Linked DNA regions of Drosophila melanogaster. Changing the gene in region 2 together with the main gene of any one other region gives a genetic interaction. Each region holds a gene or a part of one and is shown on either strand. Other genes may lie near its edges.

Region 1 (6,643 bases), on a different chromosome or scaffold from region 2:
AGCAGCGCTAGTGATTCCTCAGTGCCTCGTTGATGACACGCAGAATATCAATTTGCAGTTCGGTAAAAGCCACCGGCTCCAGCTGAGCATTGCGTATCTTCATGGACACAGCCTTGAAGAACGCACCTATCTCATCGTCCTCTCCGGAGTTGTGGCCATTGCTGGAGGGATACTCCATATGGGTGGGTTTGCTGGGCGTAATGGGCGCCGAGTGATAGCGAGACGTGGAAGTAGAGCTTGGCGTAGTGGCAGCATTCTGGTACCTAGGCGTGGTTGGAGTCTGTATCTCGATCTTCTGGAACTCCGCAGTTGATTGAAGCTGCTGATTTTCCAGGCTGGTGGCCCCGTCGCTGAGCTGCTCTTGCTTGGACATGGCACTGCCAACGCTTGGAACAGCCATGTAAACGGGTCCATCTTCGTGATCGTAAGTCATTACATGCTGATCCTGCTGCTGAGGAGGTTGTTCCGCCGCCGTTGTGGTTTCCATCTCCTCATCCTCATCGTCTTCCACATCATCATCATTATGGTGTACATCTCCGTTGATGTAATTCTCGATGTCCATGTCGTCATAGGTGGCCACACAGAGTTCACTTGCCTGCTGTTGCTGTTGTTGCTGCTGATGCTGTTGTTGCTGTTGGTGCTGCTCTTCCTGCTGTTGCTGTTGTTGTTGTTGCTCAGCCTTGTGTGGTCCCGTCAAATGAGGCAGGGTGGGCAAGTTAAGCTGGGAATTCGACGAAGACGACTCTAGGGTGATCTGCTGCGTGGGCGGTGAGTGAGACTGGGTCATATGGTCCTCGAGTTCCCTCACCGGGTCATTTTTGGGTAGCAGCATACTGAGTTGCGAATCGCTTTCCCTGAAGAGTAAAAAGTTATCAATATATGATTATGTTAAAATAAACAAAACCTCTCTTACAGCGTCTTTTGTTGTATGTACTTCTGAAGGAAACTGAGCGAATTATAGTGCTTCCAACGCGATGTGGCATCTATGTGCATCAGTGTCCTCAATCGCTTGTGTTCGCGTGCGTATTGGTCCCTTAAAGCCTTCCACTTCAGTCGACACTGTTTCACTAAAATAGTTAATGCTTGAAAAATCATCTTCATCCTTCGGCTGTTTAAGTTTATCAACCACATACCCGACTTCTTTAGTTTTCTGGCGATTTCCTCCCACACCTCCATCTTGAGCTTGGCATTGCGATAGTTCTCGTTGCCGTAGTTGTAGATCATGTCTTCCTGCTGGATCAGCGTGATCAGTTCCTTTTCGAAGTAGCTCTCCATGTTGAGAAATGTGTGTATGGGATCGTCGTCCTCCTCCTCGGCGTTCGTCGATTGATTGTGCGCTGCTGAAGTGGTGGATACATTAGACGTGATTGTTGCTGCCGAGCTCGACTGATTGGCGGCATTGACGCAGTCCACTATTTCGTTGTAGAGAGTGTCTACCACCGTGGTTGTGTTGGCGGTTCCACACTGCACTATGATTGATGGAGTAGCACCGCCTCCCGCATCCGTCAGATAGTTCCAGTTCGCTTCCGGCTGCGAGTGCATTTGTTGCTGATGCTGCTGTTGCTGCTGCTGCTGCTGCAGCACGGCTCCAATATGGCTTGCCAAGAAAGTGGCTGCCGGCTTCTTATCAGTTGAACTAGGCGAACTGAAGCTGCAGCTGTCGAGCAGCGTGGATGCACTGGCATCCTCAATTTTAATGCTGCCGGAAAGGTTTAGATTCTGGCTACTGCTGTTGCTGCTGAAGGAAGTAGTCATGGGCAGCGATAAGGGGGTCACCGTACCCACGGCGCCATTGGAAGTCTGACCAGATCTCCCTCTGTAACTAAAGAATTGTGGGTTTAATTAAATACGGACATATCATTTGGAAGCCTGAAGAACAGAACTAGTGATAGATAGCTCCATATGCTGTATAGTCTGCATTGGCAGTCAGCATGGCGGTGCCAACTTGAATTGCTCCACGTGCTACTTACTTTCTTGCCAGCGCATATGGACGCAGGAAATCCAGCTCTTTGAAATACTTCCACTTCACTGCTTTTGAGCAGGCCTTGGCGCGCTTCAGCTCCCGGCAGTACTGATCCCTCATGGCCTTCCACTTGGACTTGCACTGGACGTCTGTGGAAATGGGATTAAGTGCCAACTTTTTGGTGGGGAAACTTAAACGTTCACTTACCGGACCAACCCACATTGCTGCCAATCTCCAGCCATTTCTCGTCCTTGATCTTGGTGCTGCGGTAGTGGGGATGCTTGGGATTGTATAGCGACTGCTCCTGGGAGACCAGCGAAATGAGGATCAGCTCCTTGGGAATGCTGACCACATTCTCACCCAGACTAGGATCTATGCTGAGATTCACGTGCTGCTGCTGCGGCTGCTGGTGCTCCTGCAGCTGGTTGGCACATGGCAGCGTCTCCATGGCGCTCCCTACTTGGTGTCCATGCTGGCGGTGTGTTAATATGGGCAATTGTTATAAATAAAAACAGGGAAAACAAAAATGAGGTGACCGAACAGCTGATCCTGGAGAGTTGTGTAATTAGAGGGACCAGTTTCGCCTTGGCTATACAAGCATCTTTTTTACATTGAGTGGAACATCTGGTGGCCACCGACCTGGTCACCCTGAACAGTCCAGTGCTGCAAGAGGCGCACACCATTTCGATAAGTTGGCAGCCCGCTCATATGTTCGATTTTAAAATTTTGGCGCCAAAAAATCGTCTTTCTATACATTTGTATTTAACGGCTAATCCAATTAGCTAATTGCATTACCGCTAAGGAAAAAAGAAAACATCATAACATTCAGGCAAAACAAATTGTTTAACTCTCAGTTTATTGTGCGACGCAGTGCGGTTCAAAACTAGAAACTTTCTTCTGGCAAATATTGCAGCCGTCCTTATATAATTAATGCTCCATAATGCCGAAAATTGACCCAGAAACACAAAAACTCTACGACGAAATCAATGGCATGATACAGAAGTTTAAGGTGAATTAAATAAACTCAACGTACAGCGAAGTAAATTAAAAATATCAGATAATAAATATAGCAACAACAAAAGTAACATAAAAAAGTTTTCCCCATATAAAATAACAATACTCTAAAAATACCGATAGCCAGCTTAAAAAGAAATTCGTTGTCCTTAATTTAATTTTAACAAAAAAATATTAATATAACTTTTTGGAATATGTATGATAATATGATTGGGTTTTAAATATCTTGCCAGATTTCATACTTCAGTGCTAACTACTCCCATAATATTTCATCTCGATAATAGTCGAACACATTATTTCCAATTTTGAAAAAATTAAGTGACTTAACTTAATCGAAAACTGTATGCGTCTCTAACATTTATTCTGGAAATTCTTGTAATAAAAATTGTCATTCATTACTATGATTTTGCTTTCAGGATGACCAAAAAAGCAAGGCTGATTGCACGTTGGCCGATAAATGCGGCGACATGGGGGATGTGCCCAAGATTCGATTCTCATCCAAGAAGATTCTCAAGGGCCACATCAACAAGGTGAATTCGGTGCATTTTGCCGGGGACTCGCGGCACTGCGTCACTGGATCGCTGGACGGCAAGCTGATCATCTGGGACACCTGGACCGCCAACAAGGTGCAGATCATCCCCTTGAGATCCGCCTGGGTAATGACGGTGGCCTTTTCGCCGTCGGGTAACTTTGTGGCCTGCGGAGGAATGGACAACCAGTGCACCGTCTACGATGTGAACAATCGCGATGCCTCCGGAGTGGCCAAGATGGTCAAAGAGCTGATGGGCTACGAGGGATTCCTCAGCTCCTGTCGCTTCCTCGACGATGGCCATCTGATCACCGGCTCGGGAGATATGAAAATGTAGGGCTTTGCTTAACTTTTTGGAGTAAAATCTAAGTTTCCTATGACCAACAGATGCCATTGGGATCTGGAGAAGGGTGTCAAGACAATGGATTTCAATGGACACGCTGGTGATATCGCTGGCTTATCGCTTTCGCCAGATATGAAGACCTATATCACTGGCTCTGTGGACAAAACTGCCAAGTTGTGGGATGTGCGAGAGGAGGGCCACAAGCAGATGTTCTTCGGTCACGACATGGACGTGTCATCCGTCTGCGTGAGTACACATATATGTTTTAATAATAATAGCTTATATTAATTACCAAGAACAACTATAAGCAGCTAATCTATTTAGTACTTGTAATTTAATACAAATGTATTCATTACACCCACCCAATTATCATTATCGGTTGCAGTACCATCCCAGTGGCTTCGGGTTCGCCTCCTGCTCGGAGGACCAAACGGCGCGCATGTACGACCTGCGGGCGGACCAGCAAATCGCCCAGTATGAACCGCCCCAGAAGAACACTGGCTTCACGTCGTGCGGTGGGTTCTCGTTCTCCGTCTTGGTGGAACACGGTCGCCTTGACTTTTGACGGGTTTTTAATCTGATTTTGTGTCCCCACCAGCTCTATCGACCAGCGGGCGCTACCTCATGTGCGGCGGCATTGAGGGCAACGTGCACTCGTGGGACACGATGAAGCAGCGGCACACGGGTGGGTATTGGGAATTGGGTAGTTCGTATTGGGTATTGGATATCCATTGCACTTGGGGGATTCGGTGATAAAGAACGGGGAAATGGAGGCGAAGCTAATGCTCAGGCTGGCACTTGACTTACATCGATTTGCTGACCTTCTTCTCCACTTTCTACTTTCTACTTACCATTTGTCACTTTCCATTCCTCCACAGGCACACTGTCTGGTCACGAGAACCGCATCACTTGCATCAGCCTGTGCCCCAATGGCATGTGCCTGGCGTCCACCAGTTGGGATCAGCAAGTGCGTCTGTGGCTCTAATCTGTGCCTCTGATCTGGGTTCAGTGTCGTCCAAAGGCGAAGACAACGTTTATGCGTGCAGTTTGCTTGCAAATTACGTATACGTAATATCCATAGCCTGCAAGTAATAAGGATAGTTCTCAGTGCAGACTAACAATATTAATACAATATTAAATCTATTGTTAAACTTGCGAACATAAGAATAGCTTGCCCCCTTTAAGTGCTAATTTGCAAGCAAAACGTGCGTATGAATATTATTATAATAATTGAATACTTGATTACCTAGAGAAAGTAGCCTCCAATAACAAGCAAGTGCCAATTGGATGTGCGAAATAAAATGTATGAATAGTACAACAAAGTAACACGTCTCCTCCATTAAAACTCCATTGCAACTTAATTTTTTTTATATATTTTTTATATTTTTCTTATAAAAAATACTTATACAATTACGAAGATATTTTTGCTGCTGCGATTTTTGGCGCTTGGTTTTGTTTGTTTGTGGAAATTGTCTTTGAGCTGGTCAAAGAGGCAGCTAGGTAAATTAAAACAAATCACTTTTGAAATCAACAGAGAGATAAAGATACAGGTTCAGATACAGAATAGTCGAAAGTATACAGATAGATAGAAGATAGATAGAAAGAGAGAGAGAGAGAGAGAGAGAGATAGAAATGAAAGTCGCATAAATAACAGATGGATAGAGATAGCTTAGGATCACACAGGAAGCAGGATGCAACGATTTGAGTATTCTGTAGATGGATCAGCATAGATCAGCTGGTACAGTTTGTTTAGTTTATCAGACTCTCGGTGGAACTACTGTGAGTTGTTCTCCTGTTTGGGTAGATGGAAGGATAGCGACGACGGGACGGCCTTAAACGGAGAAGCCATCGCCGGTGGGATCCAGGATCCAGGGGTAGTTGTTGGGGCACTCCATGCACGTGAAGAGACGCAGCGTCTCGCCGGGCAGCTCCCTGGTGGTCAGGGGACACGCGTTGGGCAGAGAGCAGTAGGGCTGGCCCTTGACGTCGCACTTCTCCTTCCACTCCTGGAAGTCGCGCAGCGAGTTCAGCTCGGTGGGGTTCTGCATCCACTGGATCACCTGCAGGTTGGTCACGAAGAACACGTCGTTGCGGCCGAGCATCTCCTCGATGAATTTGATCAGCTCGTCGCGGTACTCCTTCTTCGACTTCAGCCACGAAGCGTGGAAGTGGAGTCCAAGTGGAGCACGGTTGCTATTGTAGTGGCGGTTGAAGTTGTGGCGCAGCAGGCGTGCGAACTGGTCGCCGCTGGCTACGTTTGAGCAGGAGTCCACCATATGGCAACCGGGCAGGGACTCGTCGAAGGTGGGATCGTCGCGCCGGTCCAGCTCGTTCATGACCATCTCCCACACGGGGTGGCTCCTCGATGGGCAGTTGTGCGCGTTGCCGTTGCACTTGTGCGGCATGCGGAAGTACAGGGTGTATGGCCAAATGGGCACGCGGCCAAGGGAGGCGGTGATGGAGGCGTCGTACACGAAGAACTGATCGGCCATCATCTCGAACTGCTTGTTGCCGCCCACGCGGAGGTAGGGCGCCCGCATGCCGATGATGGAGCCGTCGGTGATGTTGGCGAAGCGCTCCACGATCAGTCGGGAGCCGGCCATCTCGGCCAGCCAGTCGTCGTAGCTGCCGCCGGTCCAGTAGTTGGGGTCATCCTTGTGCGTTAGCGAGAACACGGAGATCTCGTGTCCGCGACGATGAAGGTCCTGCACCGCCGAGTAGTTGGTGTACTTGTGGGACACGAAGAAGGTGCCCTTGATGGAGCAGCCGTTGGGATTCTGGCGCTGTCCGTTGA
Region 2 (9,909 bases):
TTGGATTTTTACATAAATAATTTGTTGATGGGGTTTTCTATTTATGTGCGTCTCATTTAGTTATCCTTGTATATTAAATTAAACTAAAATTATAAAAACAAAAACAAAACACTGAACCCACTTGGCCAGACATCGCCGTTTTGGCTAGCCGCCAAAGCGAGTCCCTTGTTGCATACATTAAGATCTATAAAATAAGCAAACAACTAACAAAGTTAATGTAAAAAGTACGAAAATCAAGCTATTTTTGATAACAATGTTTCGACTGAAATTTTGATGGCAACAAAAGTACGTGAGAGCAAAACTTTCCCTTCTGATAGTTGTGTTTCTCGACCAGTGGTATATCGCATTTGATTGGATTTAACCTGATGTCTGATTAAATATCAATAAGTTGTATGGATTCTGCTGTTGCATGTTGCATGTTGCATGGGTGGTTATCGACATTTTTTACAAACACGTATTTAATGAATGCTCCATGTAAATGTTTCTGGCTTTTCTCATACAAATCTAGCTCCTATATCGTTTTTGTATTGGTTTGCATGCGTTTCATTTCTTTTCTTTTCATTCTCATGGTATTAATACGAATCGTAATTTACAATGAATGGAGCTCGCGCAATGCAAATTAATCAATTTTTAAATTGTTACATATGCGTTTATGAATTATTATATCTGCTTTCATGTATAGTTAAATATTTCGGTAAACAATAGTATCAATATTTACGGTTTACTGTTTAGCTTAATAAAAAATACAGTATTATCTGTGATTTCGTTTTCATTCATTTTATCATTTTATCAGCTTATCATTTTCGGTTTATTATTTTTACACGCCTATATGCCCTGAAATTCTAATAAGAAACTTCTTGCATATATAATTCTTTGAATATATATATATTTCGGGGGATTTTTACGCAAAAGTATGTTTTTGTTTTTCTGTAGTTATTTAGTAAAATGTTGCTTTATTATGTTATGCTTCAGTACGACAAAGTTGTTTCAGTTTGTTGTTCCTTATCAAGCTTTTGATTAAATTTACGTTTCATATTTTGTGTTTCGGATTTTATTACAAAAGTTACTATAGTAATAAATTTATTTAAATATTACAGAGTGACAACAACTAATTCGGACGATATTTTGTATAAAAACTTTTCAAGGAAATCATGTTTCTTGTGTAGGAAGGAAAAACTACCATCAGATTTATTCAAATCTAACCAAAAACTCTATCGATTGGGTACCAATCATTTCTGGCCACTGTCTTTTTGACTTTCAAGAGTTTTCCTAGTCGAAACAAAAAAAAAAAATTCACACAACGTTTTCTGAAAACTTTGCCGCTAGAAAGAATAGAAGTACTGCAATATAAATAAATGTTTTACGAATCGTCACATTCGTAAGAGAAACTCTGCCCTGATTATTTGTTGTCACACTGTATCAGATTTTGTGTTATTTTTCTCTCAAATTAAAATGTATACATCTTTTTCATCATTCTGCTGATGCGGTTTTAGCATCTCAGTTTAGTATTCTATTTATGCTACAATTTTCGGTTCCTGATGTAACAAACGTAAGAAACTTTCTCGGGTCTAATTTATGCCTAATTTTCGGCCACATTCGCTCGCTTCTCAATTCTTCTTTTATATTTAGTAAATATGCGAAAAAGGAATTATATGAATGTGTATGTGTGTTTGTATAAAAATCACAAAAATAGTTTTTCGATCCAAATCCAGTTTAGACCAAATTATATTCCTTAAGGTTCGATTGCAGAATTGTGTCCTTAACAGCTGCAAACACAAACCTTATATTTTCCGTATCTAGACAAAAGAAAAGAAGGCGTAGTTAGTTTGATTTTGTCAAATAATCCTATGATAGTAAACTGCACACATTTTCCATTCACGATATTTCACAGACTATATTTAGTTTTTATTGAGGGACTTTGAAAAACAAATCATATACATTATAAATAAATAATTCATTTGCATTGCCACTTTTCCTGATATCCGCACTGCCCGCCTTAGCCCAAATTGAATTCCTTAAGTGCATTTTGCATAATTGTATCTTTGACAGCGCAGAACACAAGTTTGATGTTTTCGGTATCTGTTTACCAAGAGATCGTTGTTTTATTAGAAATCAATTCGTTTAGGTTTGCAAATTTGACTAGCGATACACAACTACTCTCTACTCTAGATCAGCGGCAAAAGCAAATATGCAAATGTAAATGTTTTTCACACAAAAGTTTACCTTTTGACCAGTCCTTTTTAGGCTGAAAACTAAAATCACATCCACACACAATTTCTGACCAAACACAGAACTGGCAGCAAACTTACCTGTAGCACACGTGAAATGAGAATAGATAATTTTTTCGGAATCTGGATTTAAATCTACAAACATTCGCAGTATAAACTCTCGGGCCGTTATTGCATCTCGCTGAGGACCTGTTTCGATAAGAAGGCGAATATGAAGTTACGTCTAGCGTGGTTCTACGAAAACTAGCAAATAATCTACGGATGATATTGGCGATTTAAGGCAATTACATAGATCTTAAGTACATAAGGTGAAAATCCACCTGTGGCCGTTGTGAAATGCGAATAGCATTGACGTTCGGGATCTGGATTGCAGGCCAAGTACTTTTTCAGAACGAACTGTTTGGCCGCAGCGTGATCCTGTTTTGGACCTGGTTCATTGCCGCATAAAATCGTACATAATTATGGCCACCTTTATCATGCGGAACACTTACCATCGTATTCAGGAAAATAGTCTACCAAATGCGAATACATTATTTTCTCTTCCAACAAGTCCTTCTTATTCAGGAAAAGAATAACTGACGAATTTTGAAACCAAGGGTATGTAATTATAGTACGAAATAAAGCTTTAGATTCCTCCATTCGATTCTGTGAAAGCGTACAGGTGATTATTTGTTTAAAAAAAATATATTCATAACTTGAAATCATACCTCATTATCAGATTCAAACAAGATTTGATCGTACTCCGATAGCGCTACCAAAAATATAATTGATGTCACATTCTCAAAGCAATGAATCCACTTTCTTCTCTCGGATCGCTGACCACCGACGTCTACCATTCTGTTTATTAAGAAAAATATATTATTGTAAGAAAAGTTAACCAACAAATTAACTACATATAAGGCCAAACATACAAGCATTTAATTCTAGAGCGCAAGCAACGAATCTATTAGTAACTAAATTGTAAGAAATCGTCTTCACTAGCTTTACAATGACCATTTACATTACTAGCCTTGCCGGTAATTACCAATTGATATTTTTAATAGATACCTAAACACAATGCCATCCAAATCGAATGGATACTCAAGAATGCCAGTTGTCGGCACTCGAGCACGCAGAATATCCTGCTCGGTTGGCAAGTAATCAGCCTGTTCAATTCGAGCTAGATCGCTCAAGTAGCTAAATTAGATAAATTAATACACTTTTAAAACAATGAACGGAACCAAAAGCAGTGGCAAAAATAGTTTTGCAACCCGTCTCAGTCCATCAATTTCGCTGAAGGCCCTAACTAAGTCCCTGAATTGTTTGCTTGAAGAGACATGCGCTAAAGAAATTCTTAAGTGTGTAGTTACAAAGTACAAAATAAATTTTAACCATAACCAAACAAGAGGTCATGCACATGCAACGAAGTAAGGGTAGAAAGATGGTATGTACCTAAATCTGATTTCTTCTAAATCAAAGGGATACTCAATTATCCCTGTTGTGGGCACACGAACTCTTAAAATGTCTTGCTCAGTGGGTAAATATGCAGGTTGAGCCACACGATCGAGATCCTTCAGATAACTATACATAGACAAGATAATTGATTTAGTTTGCATAGTCGTTTCGGTAGTTTCAGTCTCTTCAGTTCGTTTTTCGGTCATTTTGCGGACGGATTTAAACCGTTCCCTTTGCATGCCAACGGTTAACTTACTATTTGGCTGAATCAGTCAGCTGATATTCCCTACGACGATCATAGCACTCCTGGATGCCAGCATCGTCCCAAAGCGTTTTGATGGCATTCAAGTATGGATCCTCGAACGTGGTAACGGTCTCATAATCGATGCTCATCACCAGATCGGCCAGTTCCTGTGGATCGTAAGATGTTGTTTAAGATTCAGTGACTTCAATTAGATCAATGTTTCACTTACACTATGCTCTCCCTGGCCGTAGGAAATCTTCAGCATATCCATGGCCTTGATCATTGACTGCATGGCCATGAATATGTTCTGAAAAACCAGCTTGATGTACCCACGCTTGTCCTCGTCCGAGTAACCGCTGCCGTGGATAATACGCATCTGTTTGATGAATGTGGACTTCCCGGACTCGCCAGTGCCTGGGGATATAGGATTGGAAAATATATATAGCCATAAGCGGCGGGCAAACAATGCAATTAGCGAGGCGGCTTCAATTGCATTAAGCCAGGCTAAGTGCAATCGAAATGGGCCATGCTCCACTTACCCAGTAGTAGCAGTTTAAGCTCGCGGCGCGCATCTCTCTTGTCCCGGCGCAACTGCTTCTCGATTTCCTGATTGATGCGCTTTTGTTCCTTGGCCTCCTCCGATAAACAGCACTCCATGCTAACTAGATTTATAGACGCTTTCGCGTGCTGCTGCCACTACGCTCGACAGACCGTTCCGTATATAAAATGTATGCTGTTTGGATGGTGGGATGGTCTCCTGGACTCCCTTCTCTGGACCCTCGGACACCTAGCTAATTGGTTGTATGGCGGGCGTTGAATTCACCCGTTCCAAGTTATAGATTCTGTTGTAGTTTCGATTGGTGCATTTGTACTTCGGCTTTGCTCGCTCTGCAGACCTCCTCCAGCGCTTACGATCCAGGCTCTCTTTGGCTATTGCTATTGCTAATTACGGGTCTACGCTAAGTTCTTGACCAGATTTCGGTGACTCGGAGGCTGAGAGTGATGGTTACTAATGAACAAAGACCACATCGAACGATCCAAGAACATCTGCAAGGAGACAAAGCTTTGATTTAGTGCTTGCATAACCGAACTGTAGGATCTATCCAACTATTGCTGCTACGGACCACCACAGTTGTTGGCCCAACGAGAGTTCGCCGCGTTGTGTCCCGTGCTGACAATTAACATTTCATATTTGCTAGCCTGCCCCACTAGCTGGCGACGTCGATGACGACGTCGGATATAGATTGCCCATGGCTACCCATGACTACCCCGGGACTTCCTCTGACCATGGCATTGGCTTTGGTTCTAAGTTCTGGGCCTGCTCTCTCTGCGCAGACCTGGGATCGCCCTCTACCAGGTGGCAATAGATTGAGGAAGCGTTCCCCACAATGCCCCTCAGCCAAGTTCAATGCAAGAAAGCTGATTTTGGAAAATATATGGCTTCGCTGGCCACAAGTTAGCGAGAGTGTTCTCCTATTGGGTGGACCAAGCAGTCTATGGATAAGAAGAATTGGCATATCATTCTAATTCGGAAATAAAAAAGTCACATACCGAAACTTATGATGCAAAAACACAGCTCTATACACAAAACTGGAATATCATTGCATAAACTTTAAAACTCTTAATGTACTTTTATCGTTAAAAGATATGAGTCCACCCGAATCCGCGGTTCATTCATGGGTTCAGCATAGGGCATGCCTATAGAATATAGCCTATAACCACTGGTGCTATTTCCTCTCTTTTCCAACCCCTAGTTTATATATCGAGTGATGGCTAATCCAATTTCGTTTGGCGAACACATTGACATGGGTCGAGGTAAGGCTTTCAGCATGACCACTACCAAATATCGATGGAATACCTAGCAATAATTTTGACAAAAGTCTGACCAGGAGAATTTGGCGGGCTCAGGTGGGCGAATATGGAGATCTGGATAATGATGGCTAGACGCATAGTATTCGGGAGGATTAGTGGGCTGCACTCGGAACACATTGCTCGCTGAGCAAAGCCACAAAATCGAATTAGCAGTGGCAGCAAAATTCAGGGGCAGGGGCACGCAATTGGCGCAATGAAGCGTTTTTTAACAATAGTTTGCCAGATATATCATGCCACCAAATCAGAGGGAGATTTACCTACCGCGAACTGGTCTTATCTGCCTTACATATTGTATATGCTGATGATAAACCACTCTGAGATAACGTTTGATTTGACTTCTTAATCTTTAGACGACTACTGCTCTTCTGAAAATCACTGTTCTAATGCAACCCATTTCCGAAAAACCATTTCTAAGCCGGAAATAGCTTCACGTTACTCATGCAGTTCCTTATCGCATCCTCAGCCTATTTTTGCTGGAGAATTTATGAGCTCATATTTTAGATACAAAAGTACCCTTTCATTATGATGAAAGCATGGCTTTTACACAAAATAAATATATTCGAATGGATTTGAATAAGATGGATGACAATCCATTAAACTCGCCTGGAGAATAATTCGATTTTTGGATTATAATATATTTCGGCCAGTTTTTAGTGGCAACCAACAAGTGGTCGGAGTCAAAAATTAACCACGAAATTACGATTCTTGTATTCAATGAGCATTCAGTATTACTTACTTAACATTACGGAGACACGGGACTAAAGGTATTCAGACGAGATTCTCCAAAAAGATGTTCCGGTTATCGTCTCGATTTGTTTTAGCTACCACTATGTTATACAAAAAATATTGAATTTCGGGTTTTAGTACGCCGATTGAAGTTCTTCCGGATTGATCGTGTTCTTTTAATTTTTGTTTTTGGTTCCCTGCCGATGTTCGGTCTGTTTTAAATATTTTTAGTTTAATCACGCGATTTGCTTTGCGGTGCGTTGGTTGGTCTTACGTTTTTTAGTTAGCTTAAACTAATTTCAAAAGCATTTCGTTTTTAGTTGGTTTGCGGTTTGGAAAACATTTGTTTTTAAGGAACGTGTGTAGTTGGTTATATATTTTTTACTGGTGCTTTTTAATATAAAAGTTACGATAACGTCTGTTCGGCTTCCTTTTAATGTAAATGTGTGATACGATACTATTTATATATGTAGATATATATCTATATATAATTTTCCCTTTTTGCTTCTAGTTTTCGGTGTGTATGAGTGCTGTTGTTGTTGTTGTTCTTGGTTTTTAACGTTTCTTCTTGTTGTTGTTGTTTTTAAACACCAGTCTGTAAATGCAACGAAGTTTCAACAAATATTCATTGTAGTGTAATTGAAACGGAAAAGTATGTACGACGACAACGACGACGACGAGCGGTCTTCAAATTGATTTCACACGAAACACTTAGTGGCTCCTTTTGTATTTAATTTTCTGCATATTTTATGCTTCTTGTATTTGTTTATTTTTCTGTATGCAGTGGAACTGCAAGTAAAGAAGAGAGACAGAGAGATAAGGAGAAGAACGATGGGGGGGGGGGGTGGTATTATGGGTGGTAAGGTGGGAATATGCATTCCGGAAAATCATCATCATACTGGCTAAGGTAAACACACACGACCCTCAGCTACCATTTTTTTTTTCATTTTTTGGTTAGCCCACCCGTTTTAAGCCCAAAAATATGCACAATCCACTATGTAGTTACGCGACCCCAACTAACTTCTCGCTGGCATGCACCGTTTAGTGGCAAAAGAAAACCACATTGAGTTAAACAAACTATTTCTTTTTTAAATTTCTCAACTTTTTTCCTATTCGCAGTGTTTTTCTCGGGCAAGCAGTGCGACTTGCTGCGCACTGCTTTACGAACGAATACACACAAATATAAGCGAGGGCGTTAACGAAACGAAAAAATTTTGATAGCAATGCGATTCGAAGATTTCGCGATTCGATTCGCCGTTTGTTTAACAATTATGGGGGGGCCTTGCTTAATGGCCAGCACTGTTTGGCGAAAAAATACACTTTACACTGGCATTTCGGGGAACGTTTTCGGTGCTGCTAAATTTTTTTTTTGTCGAGGGGGGGACTTTTTCGGGTGGCTGCCAGGCGGCTGCGGATGGCGACCGCTGGCTGGCGGGGAGTCCGTTTGACGGGGATCTTGCTCGAAACTCACAACATATTCGATTTGGCATCGCTCGCTACTCACAACATATTTAATTTTGCATTTTTCGCTAACGTTGACGCACGACCCGACTTTCGATAGCAGGAGGCGTTATTTGTCCGAACCTATCGGCCCTATCGTTCGTCGATATCGATGGTCAAACCAATCGGACGGCATTTGAACTAGTGGTGGCAAGATATCGATGATGGAATAGATGCTCTTAAATCAAAGTCTTCATTGTATTACATAAGGAAGGAGTTTTATTTGCCGCATAATAACTAATAGAAGTGGTTTATAACAAATAAAAACGGATTTCCTGGCAGTTCAGCTTAATTTGAAAATATATTACTTTTGGTATTTTTTAGTTGCCACCCCCACCACAACACATGTCGGTGTTGCCATACGGATTTCTATTCATGTGTGTCAATACACATTCTTAGCAATAAGGTTGGCAACGCCTTACATCCTTCAAATAAGGATGGCAACGCCAGACATCCTTAAAAATAAGGATGGCAGTGCGCCATATTCTCATAATTCAGGATGGCAATGCCTGATAGCTTTAGGAAAGACTGAAAATGTTGTGTCCTTTTCACTCTCTAACAACAGGGAATACACTTACCATGCACTTCCATATTCGTTAAGCTGTGACCCGAACCAATGACTATGATCGTAAATTTTAAATAACTAAATATATGTGTGTATAATTACCATTTAGAACATAAAAAATGCGAATATCGTAAAACGCCGGTCAATCGTCAAATTTACAAGCACTTTCTATCTTCGAAATCAGAAGACATTGCCCGCCAAATCAAAAGACTTGTATTATTTAATCTATGTTTTATTGGCTTTCTGTAAATTATTATCATTTGTTCAATATGTTCATGCGATAAATAAGTGTTTAAATTAATTAAATAAAATTAAAATAATAACTTTACAGTGTGTGCACAATTTAAACAATTATTTCGGGTTTCGTGTGATTTACAATCGAGTTAAATAAAATAAAAACATCGAATCGATCGGTTAGTGACTATTGGATTGTGTTCGCGTTATAAAGCTGTAGCTAGTTCGAGTCTCTCAAACGAAAAATTAAAAACCAAAGTACAAATTAAAGATACACGTAATCGCTAAACGTTAATGTTGTTACTTGAAACAATTTCCAAAACTTCGGGGACCACAGAGGAATTACATCTGGCCTTTTTGCATCGCCCCAAAAATACATTCAATTGACTATAAAAAACTCGTACTACATATTTGCAAAATTCACAAAATACAAAAGGTTCAGGCTGGCTATCTCCTCCGACTTTTGATTTGTTTAACAATTACTCTAGCTCTCGAGTGATATGTTTTACATTTGTGGTTTGCCATTAACAAATTACAAATTAGATACGTTTTGTTCGCATTAATTATGAGCACAATAATAGGATTAACAAATAATATATGTATACGTAGGTTTATGCTTTAGGTTTTCTTGAAACTTAGAACTAAAAAATAATGTTTGAAACATTTTCAAAATATTCTCTCTCTCATTCCTCATCTGTGTGTTCGTTCTTCTTTGTGTTAACAATAACAATTTTATGGTTGGAAGCACTGCCCTAACGAACAATCGCTATAAATGGATTGCCAGTTACCGAATACATTTCACAAAACAAGAATTTATTAATTGGACAAAAGCAAAAGCAGCGCTCACAAAGAAAATTTGGCCAAAAGTTTGTATTTGGATTTGGACCTCCGTTCGTAAAGATTTTTATGGTTGATCTGAAGTTGCTGATGGTTCGTTGCTAGCCCAGTTGTTCCCCAGTTTGTCGCTTCAGATGGGACGCGTGAAGTTGGCGGGGAAGAGTCCCTTCTCGTTGGTGCCCTCCTTCTGACCCATCAGCCAGCCTTCCTCCTGTAAATTGGCAATAAAGAACTGAACTCAATATAGACAGGAAGTGCTGAGATCTGCA
Region 3 (6,683 bases), on a different chromosome or scaffold from region 2:
ACCTTTTAAAACTAAATAATTTCGTTTGCCCATCCTTTAAAATTCATTTTTAACGTTTGCCCACCCTTTAAAAATAAATTATTTCGTTTGCCCACCCTTTAAAATTTGTTTTTTTCGTTTGCCCACTCTTAAAACTAAATAATTTCGATTGCCCACCTTTTAAAACTAAATAATTTCGTTTGCCCATCCTTTAAAATTCATTTTTAACGTTTGCCCACCCTTTAAAAATAAATTATTTCGTTTGCCCACCCTTTAAAATTTGTTTTTTTCGTTTGCCCACTCTTAAAACTAAATAATTTCGATTGCCCACCTTTTAAAACTAAATAATTTCGTTTGCCCATCCTTTAAAATTCATTTTTAACGTTTGCCCACCCTTTAAAAATAAATTATTTCGTTTGCCCATCCTTTAAAATTCATTTTTAACGTTTGCCCACCCTTTAAAATTTGTTTTTTTCGTTTGCCCACCTCTTAAAAATGGTTTTTTCGATTTTTCACCTATTAAAAATAAATTTGTACATATGTATGTAATAATTGTAAGATGTGGCGTCAAAAGCACAGTTACTTACAAAAGAACAGTTATTTACATATTTACATACATTTTCAATATATCCATAGTGTTAATCATTCATGAATTGTAACATCAATTTTTCTTAATCATTGTTTCATTTCATGGAAAATATTTTATTCCAGAATTTTCTTGAGCTTGGAGGGTGTTGATAAACATACATACATTTTTTTGCATATATATTATATTGCAATATAAAATATTTTCCATGAAATGAAACAATGATTAAGAAAAATTGATGTTACAATTCATGAATGATTAACACTATGGATATATTGAAAATGTATGTAAATATGTAAATAACTGTTCTTTTGTAAGTAACTGTGCTTTTGACGCCACATCTTACAATTATTACATACATATGTACAAATTTATTTTTAATAGGTGAAAAATCGAAAAAACCATTTTTAAGAGGTGGGCAAACGAAAAAAACAAATTTTAAAGGGTGGGCAAACGAAATTATTTAGTTTTAAAAGGTGGGCAATCGAAATTATTTAGTTTTAAATGGTGGGCAAACGTTTTTTATTGGAAATTTTTATTTTAAAGAGGTGGGCTAAGGAAATTGGTTGTATTTTAAATGTGGGCAATCGAAAAAAAATTTTTGTTAAAGGTTTTTTAAAGGGTGGGCAAACGATAAAAACTAATAATAATGGTTGGGCAAACGTTTTTTGTTGATAATATTTGGTTTTAAGAGATGGGCAAACGATTTACTCTCTGATTAGACCGAGGTAAACTTAAAAGCCTTATATTTTCTAAAGTATAAATTTTTTCAAAATTCTAAAGGGTGGGCAAACGTGGGCAAACGATGTTATTGCGATTTAAAAAAAAAAATTTTGAAAAAAGCGAAATTTTTGATTTTCGAAAATTTTCGAACTTTTTCGAAAATTCATATCTCAAAAACTGGACGTGGGCAAAAAAACTAATTGGTGGGCAAACATGGGCAAAAAATGGGCAAACGATTCCAGCTTTCAAATTTCAAAAATTCGATTTTTCCGACCCCAGCTTCTTTGAGCTACCTAAACTGCCACACACAACAATGATTGATTGTGGAAATTTTTGTGGGGGTAAAAAATGGTGAATAAATTACCACACTGGTTGGTAATTGGTTTGGTTTGCAATGCAATTCCATTCGATATTGAAATTCCCAAAAATTGTTCAAATGGCAATTTCTATTAATTAACACGGTGCTTTTGGCAAAGGAAACACCCTTACAAATGGATATACAATCTGCAATCAAAATGCGATGCATACGTGTTTCCCCCTCGTTGCTGTCAAATAGCCCGCGGTATCTTTCGACCATTTTCATTCTCTTTTCTGTTTTTTTTTTTTTCTTCTTTTTTTTGTATTTTGTTTTCAATTTTTATGTGTATTTTTATTGGATTTTATATGCGAACCCAACCCCTGGGTCACGAATAAAAAAAAAGCGACAAGAAATGAAAATTGAATATTTTATGTGAAGCGAAGCAAACAAGAGCAAACAAAAAATTGTGGATCAACAATTGAAACATCGCGTTTTTATATGTACGCAAGACAAATGGGTAGCAATTTCTTTATTTCAGAAACAAACAAAGTCGCCTAAAACAAAAATCTTTAAACCATTTCAAAGCGCACACATTTATTATTACAAATATGTGCAGGCTTCATTCATGTTTATACTTTGGTGATTTAAAATGTAAATTCTTCGTATTGATTAAAAAAAAAATATATAAATTTAAAGTTTCCTTAGAGAAATTTAAATTGTATATTTACACTTGGTTACCGCGACGAAGTGCCTTCGTCGTTGAATGCAAACTTGAGGACAACAAACGAGCGGAAGCACAAACACAAATGCCACGTATACGCCACGTTGTCTGACATTTTCCCCTGTTACCGGGGAAATGCGAAATCAAAGATTGCCAACCGCACAGAGTGCCGCCTTTCGCCATTACGTTATTTTCGCCATTTCGCGCTCTTATGTCAGAGAAAAGCCGGTCACGCGCCAATACAAGAGCTGCAACATCCTCCAGCATGCAGTTCCTTAAACGCACCGATTAGCAAAAGGACACGTACACGAAGGATGCGTGTGCGGATGTCGTTGCGGATGCCAGTGCGGATGCGAATGTGGCAACAAGTTCGGCTAACGAGACTGGCTGGCCGACAAGAGCACACCCAAATCCTTAACCGGAGTGGCCTAAAAAAAACCTAAACCGCTCGCTTTGGCCAGCAATTTTCAATGAATGGCATCGTTTAATACAATTGCCCACACGGCGTATGCGTAACGAGTTTGTTTCGCCGTGTTTTTGCCGAATTTCGAACCGAAATTGCAGACGATTTTTCATTAAATCATCTTATTGACACACAGACATTCGAAAGTAGGGGGATACTCTGAGACAATGAGAATGTTGGTAATTGAATTTATACAGAATGAAAAGCAAAGGGCATTCCACGGAATTTTATTCAAAATTACACATTGTTGCACACATATTTGTGGAGCCTAAAAAGAGCTCGAGCTTTAAATAATTTTTAAAAAATTACTGCTTTAAACTAAGATATATTAATATATTCAAGCAATTCGAGTCAACTATTTTACATCTGTGGAATTTTGAAACTCTTTGTAAACTATAAAATCCGATTATATTTTATGATATTCCAAAAAAACTCATCAAATTCAACACAACAAGCTGAGAACCGAATTCTTGATAATTTCCATGCGTGATTCTATTAACTGAAGCATACAATACAATATTCTGTGGAGCTTTTCCTAAAACTACGAATATTTGCCAAAAATTGTAGCTGAAACTTTAAATAAATCTGGGAATCCCCATTTGAAGACTAAATATAAAAACATTTCCGAAAAATCACAATACAAACACGCTGCTCACAATCACACACGGCAAATAAACTCTCACATCACGAAATTAATCAACAAATTTTCCAAGGAAATTTTTCAATGAATTTCAATAAGTATATTCATATTTACCGTTTCGGTTTGCCGCTTTAGTTTTTCTTTACAATGGAACGCACTTTTCAGTCGTTCGAATCAAGTCAAAATTTCGTGCACATTTTTGCGTGCTTTTACACGTTAACAGTTAGGATTCAAAAAGCACAAAAACTAGATCTTAGTCTTACATAGTTTTAAGTTTTAAGTTTGTATCGTAGCTTATATTTCAAGTATTGAATAAATACTTTGGAATATCTTTGAATATTTTCGAATATTTGTACAAGTTAATATTGGTTTAGCACAACACTTAGAAGCACAATCAAAAAAATAGTTACTTTATATTTAGATATTGTAAGTTTTTCAGTATGTTTATGTTTTTCTTATGGTATGCGATGTTTTTGTTGTGTTTTGGGCGATGTTGGTGTTTTTTTTTAAGAACTTGGTAGTTCCAGAGAGTTTTGGTATTTTGCTTTGAAATGTTTGGCCTGCTTGGGCTGTTCTGCTATTTAAATGAGTTATTTATTTCTAGAACAACGCGCCTCGTCGACCGTTCAAATGAAACTGATGCGAAGGCGACGCATTGCCAGGAATATAAAGCGACCGGGAGCGAGAGGGCGCTATTGAGCATAAGCGCGGGAGCGAGCGAGAGGCCAGCAATCGGCCGGCAACTTCGGCTGTGGTCGGCAAAAGCCGAAGTACTATAAACACCTGTAAGCAGCCTTCGATGCCGGCGAGAGAGCGAGAGGGAGAGAGGGAGGGAGGGAGAGAGAGAGAGCGAGAGCGAGCAAGCGAGCGAGTGGCCGTATCGTTCTCACTCCCTCACCCTTTGCCGCCCAACGCCCACATACTCCCGCTCGCCCCGTCTCTGTCTCACACCCTCTCTCGCTCTCGCTCTCTCTCTTTCGCGCTCGCATTCGGAAGCGGAAGGAAACTCAACAGTTGGCACATTATTGAGTGGAGAGAGGAGCGGAGAAAGTAGAGCGGAGAAATGGCGAGAACTGCGGAGAAAGTGCGGGCGGCAGCGCTACTCTTTGTTTTTGTTGTCGCTGTTTGTTGCCATCAAATTTATGGCAATCATTTGTGCGGTGTTTTAAGTTGGTCCAACACAAGTGCCCAAACTATCGATAATTATCGAGAGAGAGAGAGAGAGAGAGAGAGTGATGGCGTGTGAGGGCGATGGAGGAAGTAAGGGATTAGAATAATCCAAACGATTATCGTAATGATATTGTTAGCTATTAGCAATCAGATTGTTTGCAATATCTAAAACAATTTAAATAAACGATTTTATGGCATTAATTATCGGTATAATCGGCAATATTGTTATCGATCAATATCATTCCTAACAACAGGAAGAAAGCTGCTTATATTTTTTTGAAAAATATTAAATCGAAGAAATCTTCAAGGAAATCATTGGTCTCATGTTCGGTGTCGACCTCGTCGAGTAACTTCTTCAATCTTCGTAATAGATCCTTGTCCTTTTCGAGAGTATCCAACAGTTGTTCAGCATCGCTTTTTAATAAGCCCAATTTACGTAGTAAACGTATCACACGCCTTTCAAATGGCGTAAAGGACTGACGTTTGAATCGGTTGTATCTCTGCGGCAGCTTCAAGGATATCTTGTGTTGTACAAATTCCACAGAATTCTCTTTATGTTTAGTAGTCGTTAGCTGCTCCTTAGATATCCCGTAGAATTCCTTATCACGACGTTCAAGGCTTAATCCAAAAGCGGCCAAAAAGACCAAGAGCCCAAAGATATGCAAGTAATGCATTTTTAAAAACTATGCACGGCCACGTTGTCCAACTTCTACTTATATACACTTTCAGTAGTGCACTTATCAGCAAAAAACAAATTAACTCAAACTCAATTAGAGATAGCTTCACACTGAGTTATGTCAATGCCGTGACTTTAGTTTAAAAATTTGCCCAAGAAGAGTCAAGAACATGACCTAACTTACTTAACACTGCGAGTCGCCCATTTCCTGCTCATATATTATTTAAATTGAAGAAATTATTACAAAACCAAAGTAGCATTGCGTTTTGCGTAACTCAAATAAGGGCAGTCAAACGAAAATTACCAACCGACTTTTATATTTTCCATAAATTTTATACTACTCGAGATGGATTGTGACAATTCGAGTTTGGAGGAGAAGCGAGAACGCGTTGACAATGCAATCCTAACCGCCATGGAGGATCTGGATCGGGATTATCTGCGCAAATTGCAGATCGAGATGCACAGATGTGCGACCGCCTGTTGTGCGGATGCGGACGCGAATGCGGAGGCGGTGGAGCGGTGCATCGATCGCTGCCAAATCCGTTTGACCCGATCACGCTGCTTCGTACAGCAGGGTATATCCGATTTTGAGAATCGCCTAGAGAAGTGCATCCAGCAGTGCCGCCTCAATGGATCCGATTATAGCTTGGAACGTTGCACCAGCAACTGCGTGGATAGCCATGTGGGATTGTTGCCCGAAATGTTTAGGGCTATGCGAGATACCCTGGAGAAAGGTGTTTAGCAAAACAGAACACTTATGGTTTGATTTAATTAAAATTATATTCGTTGGATTTAAACAAAAATGTCTTAATTTATATTATTTTATATTATATTTATTATTCAAAAATTCATTTAAAAAATATCATGGACTGTGAACCACCGATTTCCTTAAATGCCATCAAACACCTCTTAATTGCTAAATAGCGACTTAATTAATGCCAAACGGCAATTAGTAATCTAACACCAGTCGCCAATCGGCCGAGGAAATGTTTATTGATTTATTTACTAATTTAATCGATTATGCTGCAATTTTTGGTGACCCAAAAACATGCTTTTTATAAAGCAATTACGAGACCTCATTCCATCGAAGGATAATGGCCCAAAAGCAATACAGTCCACAAATTATTCATACGAACATGTTTCGTATGGTCTGTGATTTATTCAGCAACATAGAGAAAAACGCGCCGCATGTAAATGCTACCAATTGATTTTTTTTTTTTTTTTTTTTTTTTTCCATTACGATGATGTTTTTATTATTTGATCAACGCACTGTTACCCATGCGGCAACTTAATTTGATCTGCTTAAATTATTTTATTTTACAATGTGTCTTGGTTACTTAAGACTAACAGATTTTTAATCCTAAAAATGATAGGGAGAATTATAATAGTTGATATAACATAGTAATTATTATTTATTTGATTATTCT
Region 4 (6,866 bases), 3.2 Mb from region 2:
AATACTTGAGGTGGCAAGACTGTTGCCATTTGGTGGCGAAGTGGCCATGGAAGTGTTGGTTGCAGCGGTCGACGCCGTGGAGTTGCGTATGACCAGTATGGATTGAGACTTCTCCAGACGCTTCAGCGTTTGCAGCACAAAGGGTGACTTGCTGTCGCAGTTGCTCTCGGAACTCAAGCTGCGTGTGGCCTGTAAAAGTGATGGAACAAGTTGGTAAAATACAACACAAATGTCACTGCACATCTCTTACATGTTTTAGCATAAAGGGTCTCTCCACCATCTTGGTTTGCGTGGCGTTGGCCTGCTTGGAACGCTCTTGGGCCTTTAGAACGCTCTCCAACTGACTGGCATTGATGGGGGTTTGCAGAAGGATCGTGTTGCTACTGGCCTCCTTGTTGTTGCTGTTGGCCACAATGGAAATGGTGGAGCTGCTGCTGCTGCTGCTGCTGCCGGCTCCACTCGAGCCCTGCACAATGGTCTTTCTAGCCACCGTTGTGGCCGTGGGCAGCTGGTTGAGCGTAATGGCCGTGGAGGAGTGACTTTTCTCCTGCTGCTGCTGCTGTTGTTGTTCGCTGAGCAGGCTAAGAATGTCCTGCTTGTTCTGGATGATGATCTGGCCATTTTCGTTGCGTGTGCCGCGCAGCAGGATGATGTTGCCGCCACTCGTGGCCTGATGCTGCTGCTGGTGTTGCTGCTTCTGCTGTTGCATGGCCCCGATCTTGAGCTTGGCCGCTCGCAGAGTCGTCGTTGTACTGGTTGTTGCTGCTGGCTTTGCTGATTTCGCTTCATTGCTGCTTAGCTTGCCACTGCTCTGCGATCGGATCAAGACATTTTTGGAGGTGATTTGGCCTAGAAAGGAATAACAAAAGTAAATCAGTCTTAAATAATCAATTCAATGTACATACAATATATAAAAGGTATTTATCCAGGTAAAACAACAAAATTAAAAATGTACATCCTAGAACGTCTGGATGTATAAAAAGAGTAGATCTTATTTATTTATTTGTAAGTTATCTAAACAGCGTGTTGGTTTCATTTTTGGTGTAAGTGCTCCTGTAACATTTTGTTCTCGATTTCTCGAATTGAGCAATTTCGAGTGGCCCCAAAAAACGGACAGCCCCATTGTATGCAAATTCAATGGAAACTTCATAAGCGGCGCAAGATTTATGACTCCATCTTGATCGAATTTGGAAAGCCTTGCATTAGAAGCGCATGTGACAGGGGAGGCAGGAGGCGTGGCTGCCATTGTTGCACTTTCCCAGGGTCCGTAAAAATGAACTGAAAGGGACGTCGAGCATTACGTATACGCGACGTATGCCTAGAGCGGTCAGTGGCTCGGACACTCTATTTTGTTGGCCAACAAATGGGGAGGATGGGCGGTAGCCAAACGCTAAATCAAGCGAAAGACGACATGTTTATGGCAGGGACGAAGGACTACTTAGCCGACGAGCCCCAGCACAAAACGCAATAAAAGTGCAACAAACAAACAGCGAGTTTTCAGCCAAGAAAGGAGGAGAAAGTAATGGGGTAGGTTCACGGGTGTAGGCAAATGGGGGTCTCTGCCCTGGCATGCGTTGCCAAATATAGACTCTCAAGGCTGAAGGCGACACGGAACGTAAAGTGCGCGCCGGAAACATTTCGAAATGTAGCCTAAACACTTGTCCGGCTCCCCTGCTTTTCCCGCCTCCCCCCGCCGCCGGCATCCAGCACCCTTTCCTGGGTATTTCCACACCCCCAAAAACCATGTGTGTTTGTTTTCGCAAAAACGTGCGGGTCATAATTAGCCGTTGACGCCGCCTTCAGTCGGCTGTGCTTTGGGGAAAAGCGGAAAAGCAGAAAAGCGGGCAGGGGAAAGCGCCACATGCGACCATCTGACCCCAAGTGGACAAGTGTCTGCGCCCCCTTCGCCTTCCTTGGAGTGTCTGTGCAAAAAGGTCGCCTGCCGCCAGGCAAAATAAACCGCCTGAATTGGACCAGGATCGGAATAGAATAGGTGGGGCCACTGGCTGTTGGCTGGCCATCCATTCGAGCGCACATACTTCATTGTAATGTATGGCAGACCAGCCACAACAGCACGCAGATCCCAGGATTCGGGGCACTCGGGGATCAGGCAGCCGCGTAACACATAAAACACTCTTGGCTGAAGCTTCGCATATTTTTGCGTTCGTCGCGGCTTTTGATGTGCAACGATGTGGACAGTGGGCACGACAATTGTTAGTTTAAGTAAAAAAAAAAATATACAACATATATATAATAATGAAAACCAGAAGATAAAAACGGAATTTTGAATGGAAAATGATTTTGTTGTAATTATTTTAAAATTAATTTGCTTTTAATTCGTATTTATTTTTAAGGGTTTTTCTCATGTATAAATGCTGTTAAAACCAAATATTCCTATAATAGGAAATATCAATTTAATTGAAATATTTTTTGTTTTTAATTCTTTTCTTTAAATTTTGTTTGATTACAGGATTTTGAAAAAAAAAAATCGTGCTATATAATCCCACTGTTGTACTCCACGTGCTTTACTCCACTTGCTTAGCTGGGAAACTGGGGGGGAAACAAAAGTTTCTGGGTAGCTGGACAAATTGCAAGTCTATTGAATTTTTATTAGAAGCATAAATCAAAAAGCGTTAGATTTGCCAGCTGGGGAAAGAGTTCGATAAATATGTCAATAGATTCTGCACATAGATAGCCGACAAAGGGTTAAGAAAGAGGACAAATCAAAGATGAACAAACCACAAGAACAAGAACTTTGATAGGCTTTATCAGTCTGCAACTGATTATTACTCTGGGTCTAGACATAAATATTTATTATTTAAATAAAGTGGTGAACGTCTTGGATTTTTTTGTGACCACTTTCCAATCTTTTAAACAATCATTGTTTATAAACATTTAGGTCACTAGTTTTGTGTTTGGAAAAGAAATGTTTCCATTTATCTTATCTATACTCATGAATTTATGACCAACTAAGAGTGTGTTATTAACACTTCTAAAATTCGAAGCCCGCCAATCGGTTTTTACGAGCAGAGTTGCCATATTTATGTTTAAAGAATCCAGATAACAGCTGATTGCGTCCATAGGAATTTCCAATTAGACTCTCCCATCTTTAAACCAGCTTTGCAATACCGTAGATGGGCGTAATACTAAAGAGATTTCAGTATTGACAGGAAAGGCGTAATATGGCACAGCGGCCACCAATGGGTTAATGGCCCAAAGAAACCCCCAACAACGTGAAAACAAAACGCAACGCAAAGCGAAACACAACAAAACAAAAACTAATTGGAAAACCAATATCGAGGAGAGCACGACTATCAGGTCGAAAATCGGGAGATACGTGGGCTACAGCACAGATATAACTTACATATATGCATGTAGAAGAGGGATGGGTGATAGGGGTAGGGGGAGTTGGGGCTAACTTACTTTGGAGTTTCAGTGTGGAAGTTGAATTAGAAGTAGAAGAGGACGAAGCGCTGGTGGAAATATCGGGCACATTTTCCATGTGCACAGCTTTAACAACCAATTTTAGAATGCACTACTCTCTTAGCGGTTGGCACATTTATTTCGCTTTATTGAGAATGCATTTTCATTTTTGCACACCAGCTCGCACGCACACACACACAGGTGACATGGGCGCTCGCACACGCACACAGCGACACCGAAATCGCAGAACTCTGGGATATCGAAAAAAGGTAAACAAAACTTTTTCACTGCCTCCCTGTGCGCAAGCCGTGGAGTCCCTTGGCGGATTTCGATGTGCTTCAGCTGGACGATGCATAAAATGCAACAAAAATCAATAATATCACCGTTTCACACACGAAATTATTAAAAAAAAACGATAGCGAAAATATTTTGAGCTACTCCAAAACTGTGTGCATGTCAAACTGTCAAACATATGACGGCAAAGTTGCCAGATGTTGCAAAGGGCGAGCTCCCACAAAACTTAACGACAATGATTTCGAATTTTTTAAAATTGATAACTTATTATACAAGAAAGCAAGAATACTTTACAAGCCAATAACCTTGTAATCTTAACCTTACAAGTCTATGTTTGATATAAATTAGTTTAAACTATATCTAACCATCTGGCAGCACCCCAAGTGTTCCACTTATCGGCTTATCGGTCAAGATGACAACTCCAACATTCAATTATCGGAAATCGGGCACTATATTTAAAATATCGTATTGAATTTCAAATCCGGGTTTTGTTAGTCATTTTTTATACGTTTTATAATTATTTTCTTTCTGTTGAATTTTAAACTCCGATGTATCCCGCCGTGTCCGCTGTTTACCGCCGACGTCCAGCTGACGGTTCCACCCTTCTTTAACTTACATATGTATATGTACATTTCAACGAATCTAGTATACCCTTTCAGTCTACGAAAATTTTAATCTTAGTTCAATCAAATGATGTATATTAGTATATAGGTACATAGTCGATGGCCTCGGTTATATTATCTTAAATAAATAAATAATGAAGGATTGATGAATTTATAATGCATATTTGTCTTAAAAACGCTGAGATTGGTTTGCTTGGACGTGAGCAGGAAGTTCTATTCCTGCGACTTTTGTTAGAACCCAAGGAAAATATTACATACCATTCTAGTTCTTAGCTTAGTTCAATCATAAAGTTATATGTCAAAATCCTTTAAGAGGAGCATGCAAATGGGAAGTAAAATGGGCGTAAAATGTAAATGACATTTTGTGTAATTCGCATATGTACATTTGTATATTGTAAGCTATCAAAATATATGTATGTTTGTATGTATGTACAGCCCTTGAGACCGCCCATCATTGATAGGCAACGACTTTCGCCGAACTTTCCTTGGATTTTTCCAGCAGCCGACCCCGCGGTTTTCCGACCCCGCCTCGCTTCCCTCCGCTTCCCGCGACCAGCGGAAGTCTCGGGGCTCTGGCTCTATCAAAATCAACGGGCGGGGCGACTGAAGCGAACACAGAATAATTGCCATAGCTGTGTGCCAGTGCCAGTCAGTGCCAGCAGTTTGAAATCGACGACAACATCAGCAGCAACAAGCATTGCAACAACAGCGACGGCGCGGTGATAAGTCGGCTGCTGGCTGTATATTGCCGCTGGCTTGTTATTTTATTGTCGCTTTTGTTGCACATTGAAAATAATACACAAAATAATTGAATTACTCGAAATGTGTGCATGTCCGTGTGCGTGCCACTTGTGTATGTATGTGTGTGTGTCGTGCCTTTATGGGGGCGTTCAGGGCCCCGCTGATAAGCGATGATCAAGAGGTAAACGAGATAAGCGCTGCTCATTTGGAAGCACAGGCAACACGCGCTAAATGAACCCGCCAACTTGATAATCCGCGATCCCAGAAAACAAAATATTTGTCTTCTGAATTATCTTGTAATGATAATTTGACAGTTATTGTATATTAAGAAGGTCAATGTTTACTTATGGGAAGCATAATAAAGCTGAAATTAGAATTTTATGTTTATATCTATAGTTAGGATAATATGATATTCTCTCAATATTGCTACATTACATTGCTGGCTATAATTTAGGCATTGGAATTAATCCGAATCGCGTTGCTTGTTTGATTTGCAGCTTTGAGTTTCTTATTTACATATGTATATGCATTTTGTGGCACTTTGACAGTACTCCCCACTTTTGATTTCCTACAGTGTTCCCCGTGCTCGTCGACATGTGATAAGGAGCGTGAGGTGGAAACGTGACTCTCGGCGGGGCGGGCATCGGCACGTAAATTATGCTGATGACACCGGCTCCGCACCCAGGCTCTGAAAAAGCTGAAAAGCCCGAAAAACTGAGCGAGCGATTGCGCTTGAAAAATACCAGCACGTTCCTACGAGCTGCAAAGCAACAAGAATAACTGGCTTCGGCTGCCATTTTATTGCAGCGCACAAATATTTACAATACCATTTAATGACATTTCGCCTTATAAAACAATGAGTGAGAAACGTATTTTCTGGTTTCATGCATTTTATTTGGCTAATTGGGCCTTTGAACTCTATTGCTTTGATGATGAAAACGACGCCAAGATAACGTCATGTGCGACGAAACAAGCATTCGAAGTCACGCCCCCTCAGGACTCCCCTCAGCGCGCCCAACGAGCATACGCAGTCAACGCCCCTTGGCGACGATAACAATTCAAAAGAGACCCCGATCAAAATGCAATAGCGAGTTTTTAAAAGCCATTATTACTTGCAAATGGGGGGCAGATCGAACGCCCCCTCAATAAGTGCACATTGAACCATGTTGTTGGTGCCAGTTTCGCTGAGCCCTTCTAGGTTCTCCGTAGTACGAAAAATATCTATGTACTTATGTATAAAGCCAAGTCTCGTAGACATTTCTTCCAAGAAACACAATGTCGTTAAACAAACCTTTTAAAAATCCACATATGACTTCATTAGTTTGTTGCAAGCTTATGAATACATTCAATGTAGTTTTAATGAGTGGAAGCGGTTTAACTAGCAAGGTTGCAGTTTGAAAAGCCCAAAAATAGCGTTGCCCTTTGTTGCATAGGTCACCCTGTTGCTCCACGGAAAATCTCTCAATGAAAAGCCGTTCGGAGTCTTCCTTTTGGCCGGCGGAAAGGAAACTGGTAATAAAATTACAGCGGGAGAGAAAATAATAGCTGCAATATCTGCTGTCGGCGGCGCAGCTAGCGGCCTCTAACTGTAAATGGCCAATATTAAGCGGAGAGAAAAGCCGAAACAGGAGCTTAAAAGTCCGGCGAAGAGATAAAGAGAGAGAGATCGCGGTGACAGAGAGCGGGTGTGGGAAAATTGTACGTATGCCCAGATGCAGCGAAACGACAAGGAGAGTACTGTGGGCCAAACAAAGTTAAAATTCCCTGGGCCAGGAGGAATGCCTG

What was found.
Region 1: of Galphaq (region 2) and Gbeta76C, changing one suppresses a phenotype caused by changing the other (phenotypic suppression), as found in Drosophila melanogaster (one study listed by BioGRID).
Region 3: of Galphaq (region 2) and rdgA, changing one suppresses a phenotype caused by changing the other (phenotypic suppression), as found in Drosophila melanogaster (3 studies listed by BioGRID).
Region 4: of Galphaq (region 2) and Camta, changing one suppresses a phenotype caused by changing the other (phenotypic suppression), as found in Drosophila melanogaster (one study listed by BioGRID).

The regions. Positions count from the first base shown.
Region 1 is NT_037436.4:19,684,825-19,691,467, forward strand, and holds Gbeta76C (G protein beta subunit 76C), read left to right. Parts: upstream 1-2,812; 5' UTR 2,813-2,903; coding exon 2,904-2,972; intron 2,973-3,393; coding exon 3,394-3,839; intron 3,840-3,893; coding exon 3,894-4,095; intron 4,096-4,234; coding exon 4,235-4,364; intron 4,365-4,447; coding exon 4,448-4,534; intron 4,535-4,727; coding exon 4,728-4,834; 3' UTR 4,835-5,168; downstream 5,169-6,643. Other genes in the region: CG8765 (uncharacterized protein), read right to left, coding at 8-854, 914-1,067, 1,134-1,822, 1,971-2,112, 2,171-2,411; verm (vermiform), read right to left, coding at 5,682-6,643. UniProt on the Drosophila melanogaster protein: Guanine nucleotide-binding proteins (G proteins) are involved as a modulator or transducer in various transmembrane signaling systems.
Region 2 is NT_033778.4:12,610,951-12,620,859, reverse strand, and holds Galphaq (G protein alpha subunit q), read right to left. Parts: upstream 8,121-9,909; 5' UTR 8,014-8,120; coding exon of another isoform or gene 8,009-8,013; exon of another isoform or gene 7,981-8,008; coding exon of another isoform or gene 7,976-7,980; intron 7,294-7,975; coding exon of another isoform or gene 7,203-7,293; exon of another isoform or gene 6,515-7,202; intron 5,074-6,514; exon of another isoform or gene 5,031-5,073; intron 4,954-5,030; 5' UTR 4,564-4,953; coding exon 4,446-4,563; intron 4,321-4,445; coding exon 4,136-4,320; intron 4,074-4,135; coding exon 3,919-4,073; intron 3,789-3,918; coding exon 3,660-3,788; intron 3,405-3,659; coding exon 3,276-3,404; intron 3,066-3,275; coding exon 2,936-3,065; intron 2,874-2,935; coding exon 2,720-2,873; intron 2,657-2,719; coding exon of another isoform or gene 2,549-2,656; intron 2,418-2,548; coding exon 2,310-2,417; intron 2,080-2,309; coding exon 1,997-2,079; 3' UTR 1,877-1,996; downstream 1-1,876. Other genes in the region: CG45086 (uncharacterized protein), read right to left, coding at 7,203-7,293, 8,009-8,013; Amph (amphiphysin), read right to left, coding at 9,771-9,851.
Region 3 is NC_004354.4:8,922,538-8,929,220, reverse strand, and holds the start of rdgA (retinal degeneration A), read right to left. Parts: upstream 4,038-6,683; 5' UTR 3,525-4,037; intron 1-3,524. Other genes in the region: CG43255 (uncharacterized protein), read right to left, coding at 4,847-5,254; CG12661 (uncharacterized protein), read left to right, coding at 5,603-5,998. UniProt on the Drosophila melanogaster protein: Required for the maintenance of phospholipid turnover within the photoreceptor.
Region 4 is NT_033778.4:9,443,069-9,449,934, reverse strand, and holds the start of Camta (Calmodulin-binding transcription activator), read right to left. Parts: upstream 3,890-6,866; 5' UTR 3,503-3,889; coding exon 3,424-3,502; intron 850-3,423; coding exon 251-849; intron 190-250; coding exon 1-189. Other genes in the region: ced-6, read left to right, coding at 5,252-5,262.